Saccharomyces cerevisiae S288C: one gene and its partner. The protein of the gene in region 1 interacts with the protein of each later gene in a biochemical or structural test. Each region holds a gene or a part of one and is shown on either strand. Other genes may lie near its edges.

What was found.
Region 2: the proteins of DUF1 (region 1) and UBP9 form a complex in vitro, tested with the Saccharomyces cerevisiae proteins (one study listed by BioGRID).

What each region holds. Positions count from the first base shown.
Region 1 is NC_001147.6:154,735-160,187, reverse strand, and holds DUF1 (Duf1p), read left to right. Parts: upstream 1-1,550; coding exon 1,551-4,901; downstream 4,902-5,453. Other genes in the region: alcohol dehydrogenase ADH1, read left to right, coding at 1-640; MHF1 (Mhf1p), read right to left, coding at 743-1,015; protein disulfide isomerase MPD2, read left to right, coding at 5,443-5,453. UniProt on the Saccharomyces cerevisiae protein: Ubiquitin-binding protein involved in the resistance to phenanthroline, sanguinarine, nordihydroguaiaretic acid (NDGA), isopropyl (N-3-chloro-phenyl)-carbamate (IPCPC) and guanosine 5'-O-(2-thiodiphosphate).
Region 2 is NC_001137.3:353,533-358,250, reverse strand, and holds UBP9 (putative ubiquitin-specific protease UBP9), read right to left. Parts: upstream 2,786-4,718; coding exon 521-2,785; downstream 1-520. Other genes in the region: ribose phosphate diphosphokinase subunit PRS2, read left to right, coding at 1-146.

The DNA of each region.
Region 1 (5,453 bases):
AGCCGCTCACATTCCTCAAGGTACCGACTTGGCCCAAGTCGCCCCCATCTTGTGTGCTGGTATCACCGTCTACAAGGCTTTGAAGTCTGCTAACTTGATGGCCGGTCACTGGGTTGCTATCTCCGGTGCTGCTGGTGGTCTAGGTTCTTTGGCTGTTCAATACGCCAAGGCTATGGGTTACAGAGTCTTGGGTATTGACGGTGGTGAAGGTAAGGAAGAATTATTCAGATCCATCGGTGGTGAAGTCTTCATTGACTTCACTAAGGAAAAGGACATTGTCGGTGCTGTTCTAAAGGCCACTGACGGTGGTGCTCACGGTGTCATCAACGTTTCCGTTTCCGAAGCCGCTATTGAAGCTTCTACCAGATACGTTAGAGCTAACGGTACCACCGTTTTGGTCGGTATGCCAGCTGGTGCCAAGTGTTGTTCTGATGTCTTCAACCAAGTCGTCAAGTCCATCTCTATTGTTGGTTCTTACGTCGGTAACAGAGCTGACACCAGAGAAGCTTTGGACTTCTTCGCCAGAGGTTTGGTCAAGTCTCCAATCAAGGTTGTCGGCTTGTCTACCTTGCCAGAAATTTACGAAAAGATGGAAAAGGGTCAAATCGTTGGTAGATACGTTGTTGACACTTCTAAATAAGCGAATTTCTTATGATTTATGATTTTTATTATTAAATAAGTTATAAAAAAAATAAGTGTATACAAATTTTAAAGTGACTCTTAGGTTTTAAAACGAAAATTCTTATTCTTGAGTAACTCTTTCCTGTAGGTCAGGTTGCTTTCTCAGGTATAGCATGAGGTCGCTCTTATTGACCACACCTCTACCGGCATGCCGAGCAAATGCCTGCAAATCGCTCCCCATTTCACCCAATTGTAGATATGCTAACTCCAGCAATGAGTTGATGAATCTCGGTGTGTATTTTATGTCCTCAGAGGACAACACCTGTTGTAATCGTTCTTCCACACGGATCCACAGCCTAGCCTTCAGTTGGGCTCTATCTTCATCGTCATTCATTGCATCTACTAGCCCCTTACCTGAGCTTCAAGACGTTATATCGCTTTTATGTATCATGATCTTATCTTGAGATATGAATACATAAATATATTTACTCAAGTGTATACGTGCATGCTTTTTTTACGGCAGCATTTTTTTTTCAACTCTGATCGCCCCTTTACTGCTCCCTCCGCCCAAATTCCATTGCAGTTCAAATGTATACTGAAAAAAACCCCATTGCTATTGTTAAACAGTGAACTCTCTTTTTGCCCAATAATAACATTATAACAAGTAACTACCAGCACCATAACACCGTGTCCTATCCTGGTATTAATTACTACTTGAAGAACGACTACATCGCTTTTTGCAACTACAATTAGAACGCTCCGCCCCTTCCTTTTGACGTCGTATAAGTGTAGTTGGATTGCAATTGCATAGATACAGGAATTAGTTCAAGCCATTCCTAACGAGGAAACGATACATTCTAGCAAATCTACGCTTTTCTGACTTTAGAAGAGCAAGCCAATAAAAAGCCGGAGAAAATAGAAAGGTAATAATGAATCAGTTGACAGTGAGTTATGGCCTAATTTCCCCAGATTACTGCACTTCCCAAGATGCGCACATCTTACCGATAACAAAGATTCTGTACCCGGATATACCTGGTAAAAACTATTTTCTTACTTCAGGAAGGGATGGTTCCATAATTTTGCACAAGAACACACAGCTCTCGAACGAGCCTGAGACTGCTGCAACTACCATAAAAAACGATGCGATAAGAATGCAAGTTCATAGCGATTGGGCAAGCGATCTAATACATGTTAATATGAAAAATTCAGACCCATCTGCAGGGGACACATTCATATCAGTAAGTCACGATTTTTCGATAGTATTAATTAGTGTGAATGCGCAGTTAACTACCTGGGATAAGAAAATAATCGGTGACCACGACGATTATATCAAGTGCATAGTGCCCATACATTATGAAATGTCAAATGACTATGAATTGGAAGAACAAGAGGGTGGTCCTGATAATGTACACGATGGAATAAATAATGGCATTGTTGTTGATGAACAGAACAACTTTCTTTTTGTGACAGGTGGTCTAGATAGAAAAATCAAACTTTGGTGCCTGAGCAGCGGGCCAGAAAAAATGGCTACGCTACTACACACATTTGATAATGCACAATCAAACGACACAGGCTCAATATACTCCATGAGTCCCATCATCCCAAAATACAGTTTTGATGACAATCAAACGTCTCGTCCCTTTGATTTTGTTGCCGGAGACTGTAATGGTGATTTGATTTTTTATTCGTGTAAATATCGTAAGGAGGTGATAAGAATTCAAAACGCCCACAGAACAAATATAAAAGTAGTAAGAACTCTTGATGACTCCACACGACTAATCAGTACCAGCTCAGATGGTGTAATAAATGTATGGGACTTGAATTGTAGGCATGATCAGACTACTGGTGCCCTTCAGCTTCCCAAAAAAATTGGATCTTGGTCCTGGGATTCTTCCATATGGTGTGTCCAAGGAACGAGCCTTGATAAGTTGTATTTTGGTGACTCTCAGGGCAATGTTATGAGAGCAAACTTATCCAGTTATGAAGATGCTAAACTTACAAGAATTTTCAAGCCTGATCATCACCACCATCATCATCATCACCATGAACACGAAGAGCAAAATATATCAACTACAGATGCGAAAGTAAAAAAATATGGTGGTATCCTTGATATTGCCCTTTTACCTAATGAAAAATTGTTGTTTTCTTTTTGTACTGACTCAAATCTAAACGTGCTCGATTTAACTAATAACCATTTCAGTGTCAACGAAGGTGGGTTCGCACTGACCAGAAGCTCACTGCTAACCAACAGGAGGCATGTAATAACGGAAAACACTAAAGGCCAAATGCAGAGATGGGATATCGTTTCATGTGAGCTTTTGAATACTTTTGATTCATCAGAAGGTTCATTTGATGATATTGTAATGAAATACACCTCAAAGGAAATTCTATCTCATTGGTGTACTGTTTCCGTTAAGGTCGGTATGCTGTTCGTAAAAATAAACCCAAAATTTCTGAAAACTGAAGTTTATGGATCCGCGCTAAAGGATTATCAGGTTGTGAACAATATTGAAATTAACTCAGATGAGAGATATAATTTGGGTAAAATTGTTATTAATTCGCTTTTCAATGAGTTCATATCATATGAAGTCCAAAAGGATAAACTTTTAAGGAAGAAAATTTTTAGTTTGAAGAAAAAAGACTTAACCAATTCATTAACCTTGGATACGGGATATAACAGTGAATCAAAAAAGAATAATAAAGATAAAAAGAGAAAATCAACCTTCAAAATTAGTTCAACTCTGTCCATTGGAAATACCAACAGCAGTGGAACTCCACCAAATTCGGCACCTGCAACCCCGGTAATGGCAGAGACTATAGTATTAGAAGAACAACCATTGTTGCAGTCAGCTTCTGATAAAGCAATAGATGACTCTTTAGAACTCGTGCAACCATTGCCTGCATCCAAAAAGCCATATTTTAGAACGCAGAGCTCTGGCTCCTTGTTAAGTAGAAAGTTCAAATCATTTAGGTCTACTTCTGGTCGTGCCACAACAGGGTTAAACACTCCAGAGGAGCCCAAAGGAATTCTGCCAGATACTCCGCACGTTATTAATGATGACTCGGCCTTCCCTCAAGCTATCAATACAACTCAGCAGTCTAAGGATGCAACTCCAGAATCTATGTTATGGAATCATCCTTTCAAGCTAGAGCAAAAACTATCCGCTATTTCATCACAAGATTTACCGAGTAACAACACTCATAACAAACTAAGATCATCTGAAAACTCAAGGGCGAATTCCACGTCAACCTTGGAAGGCAACGAAAAGAAGAAGCCTGAGTTCATGCCCGATTTACTGGAGCAAATTCAAGAGTCTTACAAGCAACAATATATGAATACTTCTTCTCTAAAATACCTGACGAAGAGGCTTCCAGTCACCAAGATAATCAAGGCTAGTTCATGTCCAATTATTAGAGTAAAATCTGCCACGTTAGTTTTGGTCCATCTTTGGAAGGAAGGCTCATGTGGTGGCAGGGTATTATTTTCCACCCTATTACCGCCATCTCATGTCGATAATGAAACCGTCAGCGGCGGCAAAGAAAATTCCAAACCGCCAGATGATGAAGAAGTAGACCTTCAAGCTGTAGATGATGACAAATTAGGAAAATATGATCTTATTGATGGCGAGTTAGGAAGCAGACTCAACAGAAGGCAAATTTTTGAGCAATTGGAGGAAAATTTGCCCTACTGGTTTGCAAAAGCTTTATTTAGAGATATTAAGACGGTGGAAGAGCAACCAAAGTTGAACTTCTTAATCATGCCATGGTCTTCTGTTGGTGGGAGTGAGGCAGCTGGCAATGAAAACAAGAAGAAGTTTATTAGTGCATCAGATACCACAGAATCTTCTGGCAACGATAGTAGCGATAGCAGCCTTGGAAATGGTAATGAAGCCGTTTCCCCATCAACACAGCAACAGTTCCATAATATGCTAAAGTTTGGCCGTCCGAAGACCAGCGAGCAGGAGTTAAACCCCACAGATTTACCGAGAATCTCTGAGGCGAATGTCAAGCTGGTTGCGCCTGGAATGATTAGGGTGAAAAAAATTAAACTTTACGTCGCTGACAGATTTGAAACGAAAACTCCTGAAATGAAAGCAAAAATGGAACCTAGTCTTTGGTTGGATCTACTATGTAGGGGCCAAGTGCTTGATAACGATATGACTTTAAATACCGTTAGAACACTTTACTGGAAATCTCAGGGTGACATAGTTCTAGAATACAGAAGAAAAGTACATAATTCACCGCTAGTTCATGAGGTCAACGGGAATGAGGGGAAATGATAATGTTTATTTAAATTATATTTTGGGGTCTGAATTTGGAGTTTTTAAGCGTAAATATATAGTAACAATACCAACAATAATACTAATAATACTATAATAGTAGTTGCAGTAACAATGACAAGATAAAGAATATTCTTCTGAAATGTCTAAAGAACGAAGAAAAAAGCAAGTACTCATTGGAATGCTATGTGTAACAACTCATACATACTCTAGAGCTTTATAATAATTACATAGACATTTTTATAATATTATTTATTTATCAAATTTTATATTGAATAGGTACCATCAAGTTATGCACACATTCTTCATTAAAATACAGTCTGTAAATAATTGTGAATATGGGCGACCTGAATGATGTTCTTATTATCTCAAATATTTCTAATTTTTTTTAATCATTTTTGTTTCTTTAAGAGCAATTAATTTACAGAGCGGGGAACAGTGGCCAATTTTTTGAGCTAAAGAACAGCATAACAACAAAACAACAGAAAAAAAACACAGCGAGTCTAGTGCAAGTACGTCGGCAAAGTAAAACACAAAGGAGATGAAATTGCA
Region 2 (4,718 bases), on another chromosome or scaffold:
GAATTGTTTGCACCAACACGGTACCTGTTGATTTGGATTTGGACATTGTCGATCAGGTGGATATCAGCCCTACGATTGCAGAAGCTATCAGAAGATTGCATAATGGAGAATCAGTCTCATATTTATTTACACATGCGCCTGTTTAAAGAAGAGGTATAAACGAATATATTTGTATAAATGTACTAACAGATATTTTGAAAAAAAATGCGTATATCTATTCAGTATTAGCGCTTATGCTGCCACCAATATTCTTCATCTGGTCTCTATGAGATTTTCATTAAAGCTTAATCTTTTCTGATTTACCGCCCTTGCTTTTGGAAAATATGTGAAATTTTATTGTGCTCTAAAAAAAAAAAGTTATTACAGTAGGTGAAGTGAAATACAACTAAATTCGAAAGATCAGGAACAATAGAAAGAAACGTGGAAATTATTTAAAAAAGGAAGAAAAAATGGTACACTAATATTGATACTTTTAGAACAGATGGGTCTCAACTATATGATGTATCGAAACAATCCCGATTTATTTGATGAAGCTCAATATTCTCGATTTTCTTTTTTGCTTATTGCGTTTTTTATCATTTAATGGCGTCTTGGTTTCTGCAGTCTTAACTTCAGGTATATTCCCCAAGGTCTTTTTGCGTTCAATATTTGCAGCTGCCCTCAATTTACGATCCCTTAACCAATCATCGCATTTTATTAACTGTTCAATGTTATTGTCAGTCTGCATTTGATCTTGACTAGAAGTGTCTATATTTTCATTTTGATTTTCGGTCTTATCAGCCTGTGTTTCTTTATAGAATAAAACGTAGGCTGTAGTTTGATCACCTGGATGACCTGTGAATTGTAACACAGTTTCTTCTTTTATGGATTCCACCGTTTCGTCATCATACAAAAGCCACCCAAACTTTTCGTTCCTGCAAATGCATACGTAATGACCATGCTGTGGACCGCTCCCCATATGGATGACGACGCCGCTTAGTTCATATTTTTTATATACTGATGTATTAAAAGTGGAAGAAACATCCAAAGTTAGTGGATAGAGTATTTTGTTAAAAAGTTTGATGTTTGACTTTTGCTCCTCTGAATACTTGAATCTTTTTAGGTGCAATGACAGAATATGGGGCAGTTGCTTCAGTCCGACCATACGTTCTGCTTCTTGTAAACCATAACATTTGTTACAATAAAATTTGTTAACCCCGTTCAACATCTCACGCTGATGATAGCTTTTTAACATCTTCTGGATATCAGTCTCTTCATCACCCTGTACTTCTATTGGAAAGTCTAAAAATGGTTCGTCCCTTGAGGTGATATTGTCACAAGTTAAACATTTGATCCTATTCGTCAGTGTACCTTTGAATAAATCCGTTATAAAGTTGTCGTTGCTGTTGTCTGTCTTTTGTGGTCCGAATCTCATTCTGGGATTATTGCGTTGAATATATTCACTGAAATCATTTAATAAAAAGTTTAAAAATTCATGGGCATCTTGTTGCATCATAGTGTTGAACAAGACGTTTTCTTTTTTTAAAATTTTGACAAACTCTGTAGGTGAAACGATACCGGTTAGCGACAAGTTTTCAGTAATAGACTCAAATATATCTTTTAGTCCATTGTAAAGTGTAGCTTCCTCGGTTGGATAAAGTAAATGATCTACGTTAAGAACGGGGCCTCTAATTAAAGCGGCTTTTTTTCTTTGTTCACTTGTTGGAAACGTATTCTCTTTATTATTATTAGAATTGTTGACAGCATCGTTACAGCTCTCAGGGTTAACAAGGACATCATCATCCACTGATGTAATCCTACTGCCTTGTGAATCACACTGGCAATGCGAATTTGCTTGACAATCTGTAGTTGAAGCTTTTGATAAGGAATCGCTTTGCTTTAAAAGCGGTCTTCCCACAATAATTTTTTTACAGCCTTCGTGAAGCTTCTCTGTTAATGTATCAGAGGCCATTACAACTGTGTGAACAGGCTGAGGCCGTTCCATCTCATTGTTATCATCTTTCTTTGCAGAATCTTTATAGTTCGATTTATCTTTTCCAAAACCCATAAACGAGTTCCTTTTTCTTTCAAAATTATTCTGTTTTTCTTGAGTAGAAGAAGAGGAGTTATCTTGATCACTCTGCTGAAGGTGGTGGTGGTTATGTGCATCTTCATTATCATTGCTTTGGTACCCCGTATTAGAATTTCCGCTATTAGTAGATGTTTCAAAACTTTCATTAGTGAATACCCTTATTTTTGAACCCTTCAAATCACTTTTGCGTATTCTGTTTACTGCGGCTACTCTTTCAGGATATCGCAGCACATTACACCTAAATTCGGGGATATTATAAAGGCATTGTAGAACGGAGTTGCAGTAGCAAGTATTCCCAAAATTTTCATAACCAAACACTTTATTGGAACCATCCCCATATGGCATTAAATCTGTAATAGTAGTAAATAGTATGGAGGACTCTGTATCGAACGCACGATCTTCATATGTAGTCGAGGAATCGTACTCTCTTTCATCTGAAGTACTTGCCATATTATGGTAATGCTCATGGTAATGTTTATTTCCTGCAAGGTTATCCGTTTGACTACTAAACTTGCTTCTTCTTTCATGGCTCGCAAGATTAGAAGGTATGCTTGATGTACTACTCTTAGCACTTGGTGATTTCGCTATGGAGGGATCTCCAGAACCTTTCGTTTTCTTCAGGCTAGTTGCTTTCCGATTAATTTCGTCATTACCTTGAGTGTTCTTCTCCGGGTGTGACTTTTTCCTATTCACAGATAACCATCTTTTTATCATTTTTCATATGGAAGACTCGTTGCCTTTGGTAAATGTTTTAATTTTCTGTTTATTACTGATAATGCAAATACTTTTTTAAGGATCGAGCTAAGGTTTTCGACACATTCAAGCTTGTTCAAGCGAAAGGTTGAGTTCGCCCCTAGAAGTTTAATAAAATCGGAAGTTCCAAATACAGCTTCGATGGACCTTATTGAATGCAAGAGAAACGTTTTCTTGTGGGGGGGGCGTATATCGTTTGGAAAGGAACAGAAGTGCAACTTTTTCAACCCATAATAGAAATCGCGCATTGACATTAATAAACGCGATTTCCGGGGTAAAAACCGCATATAAAGTATATATGGCGTACAGGAGCCCAACTGCTTTTTCTTTTGCTGAAGGACAATTGAGATACGACAGCGTGATGCTTTGTTGGAAGGTGGCTCCTAACCCCATACATACACTGTATGATGTCAAAAAAGTACTCCGATACGGGGAGTCGAACCCCGGTCTCCACGGTGAAAGCGTGATGTGATAGCCGTTACACTATATCGGATTACAATACACGTATGTGTTGCATCTCAAAATGGAATACGTCAGTATGACAATACCCACCTAAAATATTCATAAAACACATATTGAGATGTTGGTGAATTTTAAAATAATTGTTGGGATTCATTGTTCGTAAACGCTATAATATTGCGTATACAGAATATACTAGAAGTCTCCTCGAGATATGGAATCCATAAAAGGAGAATCTGTTGGAACGAGAGTAATTAATAGTGACATGAGTTGCTATGGTAACAATCTAATGCTTACATCGTATATTAATGTACACCTCGTATACGTTTAAGTGTGATTGCGCCTATTGCAGAAGGAATGTTAAACGAGAAGCTCAGACAATACTGAAGCTGTGTTAAACACCTATTAGTTGAACATGTTATGGTAGGTACATATATGAGGAATATGAGTCGTCACATCAATGTATAGTAACTACCGGAATCACTATTATATTGGTCATGATTAATATGACCAATCGGCGTGTGTTTTATATACCTCTCTTATTTAGTATAAGAAGATCAGTAATTATTTCTTCATTAATACTATTTTTTTACCTCTAATTATCAACAGAATCGATAAATCTACATATTGTTGTTATTCTTTTTTCTTCCATTTTATATGTTCTCGTTTATTATTCTATCACGATCTGAGTCCCTGCATTTCGGCCTCCATTAAATTTGATGAGTGTTTCTCAATTTTTTATGTCATCTTCCCGCACCGTATATGATTGTATACCAGTATTATGAATATCAGTACACTAGTTGATAGATGATGGCTGATTCCTATTCCAAGAAAGTTTTACTTAAACTTTTATATTTCTACTATAGGTTCTTGTCTGAGTAACGGAAACCACCTGCTCTAACAAAATCTTAGTTTAGTTCAAGGTTACATTTGCTGCATAATCGTTGTGGTTCTGGAGTTTTATCCCGCAACGAAATTCTAATCTATGGTTGAAATTTAATTATGGAAAAACTCATTTATGATGCTAAGCAAACAGGTCTTAGTGTGAGGGGGCATTGATCTTGAAAAATAGTCAATCCTACCCGCAGAAATTACTCCACAAAGGTCTGAAAGGAGACGCTGTTGCGTATTTGATCAATGAGGTGTATACCTCTTATCTTAAGCGGTATATAATAGCTTTATATCCCGATACTTGAATTATGCTTATGTAGGAAGAAGTGACACTGATTGCTCATTTGTGCCATTATAATGTAAGCGTTTGTTTTACAAGTGTTAGTGAAGGTACAATGTATGTTATTATTTTTTTTCTTCATCGTTTCTTTTCAAAAGGATGAGATTTTGTTTTAAAATATTACAGATTTCCGCACCAAAAAGTAAATATTATGAAAAAGACACATTAATTTCAACGCTGGGAAAGTAAATAAGTATAACGTCG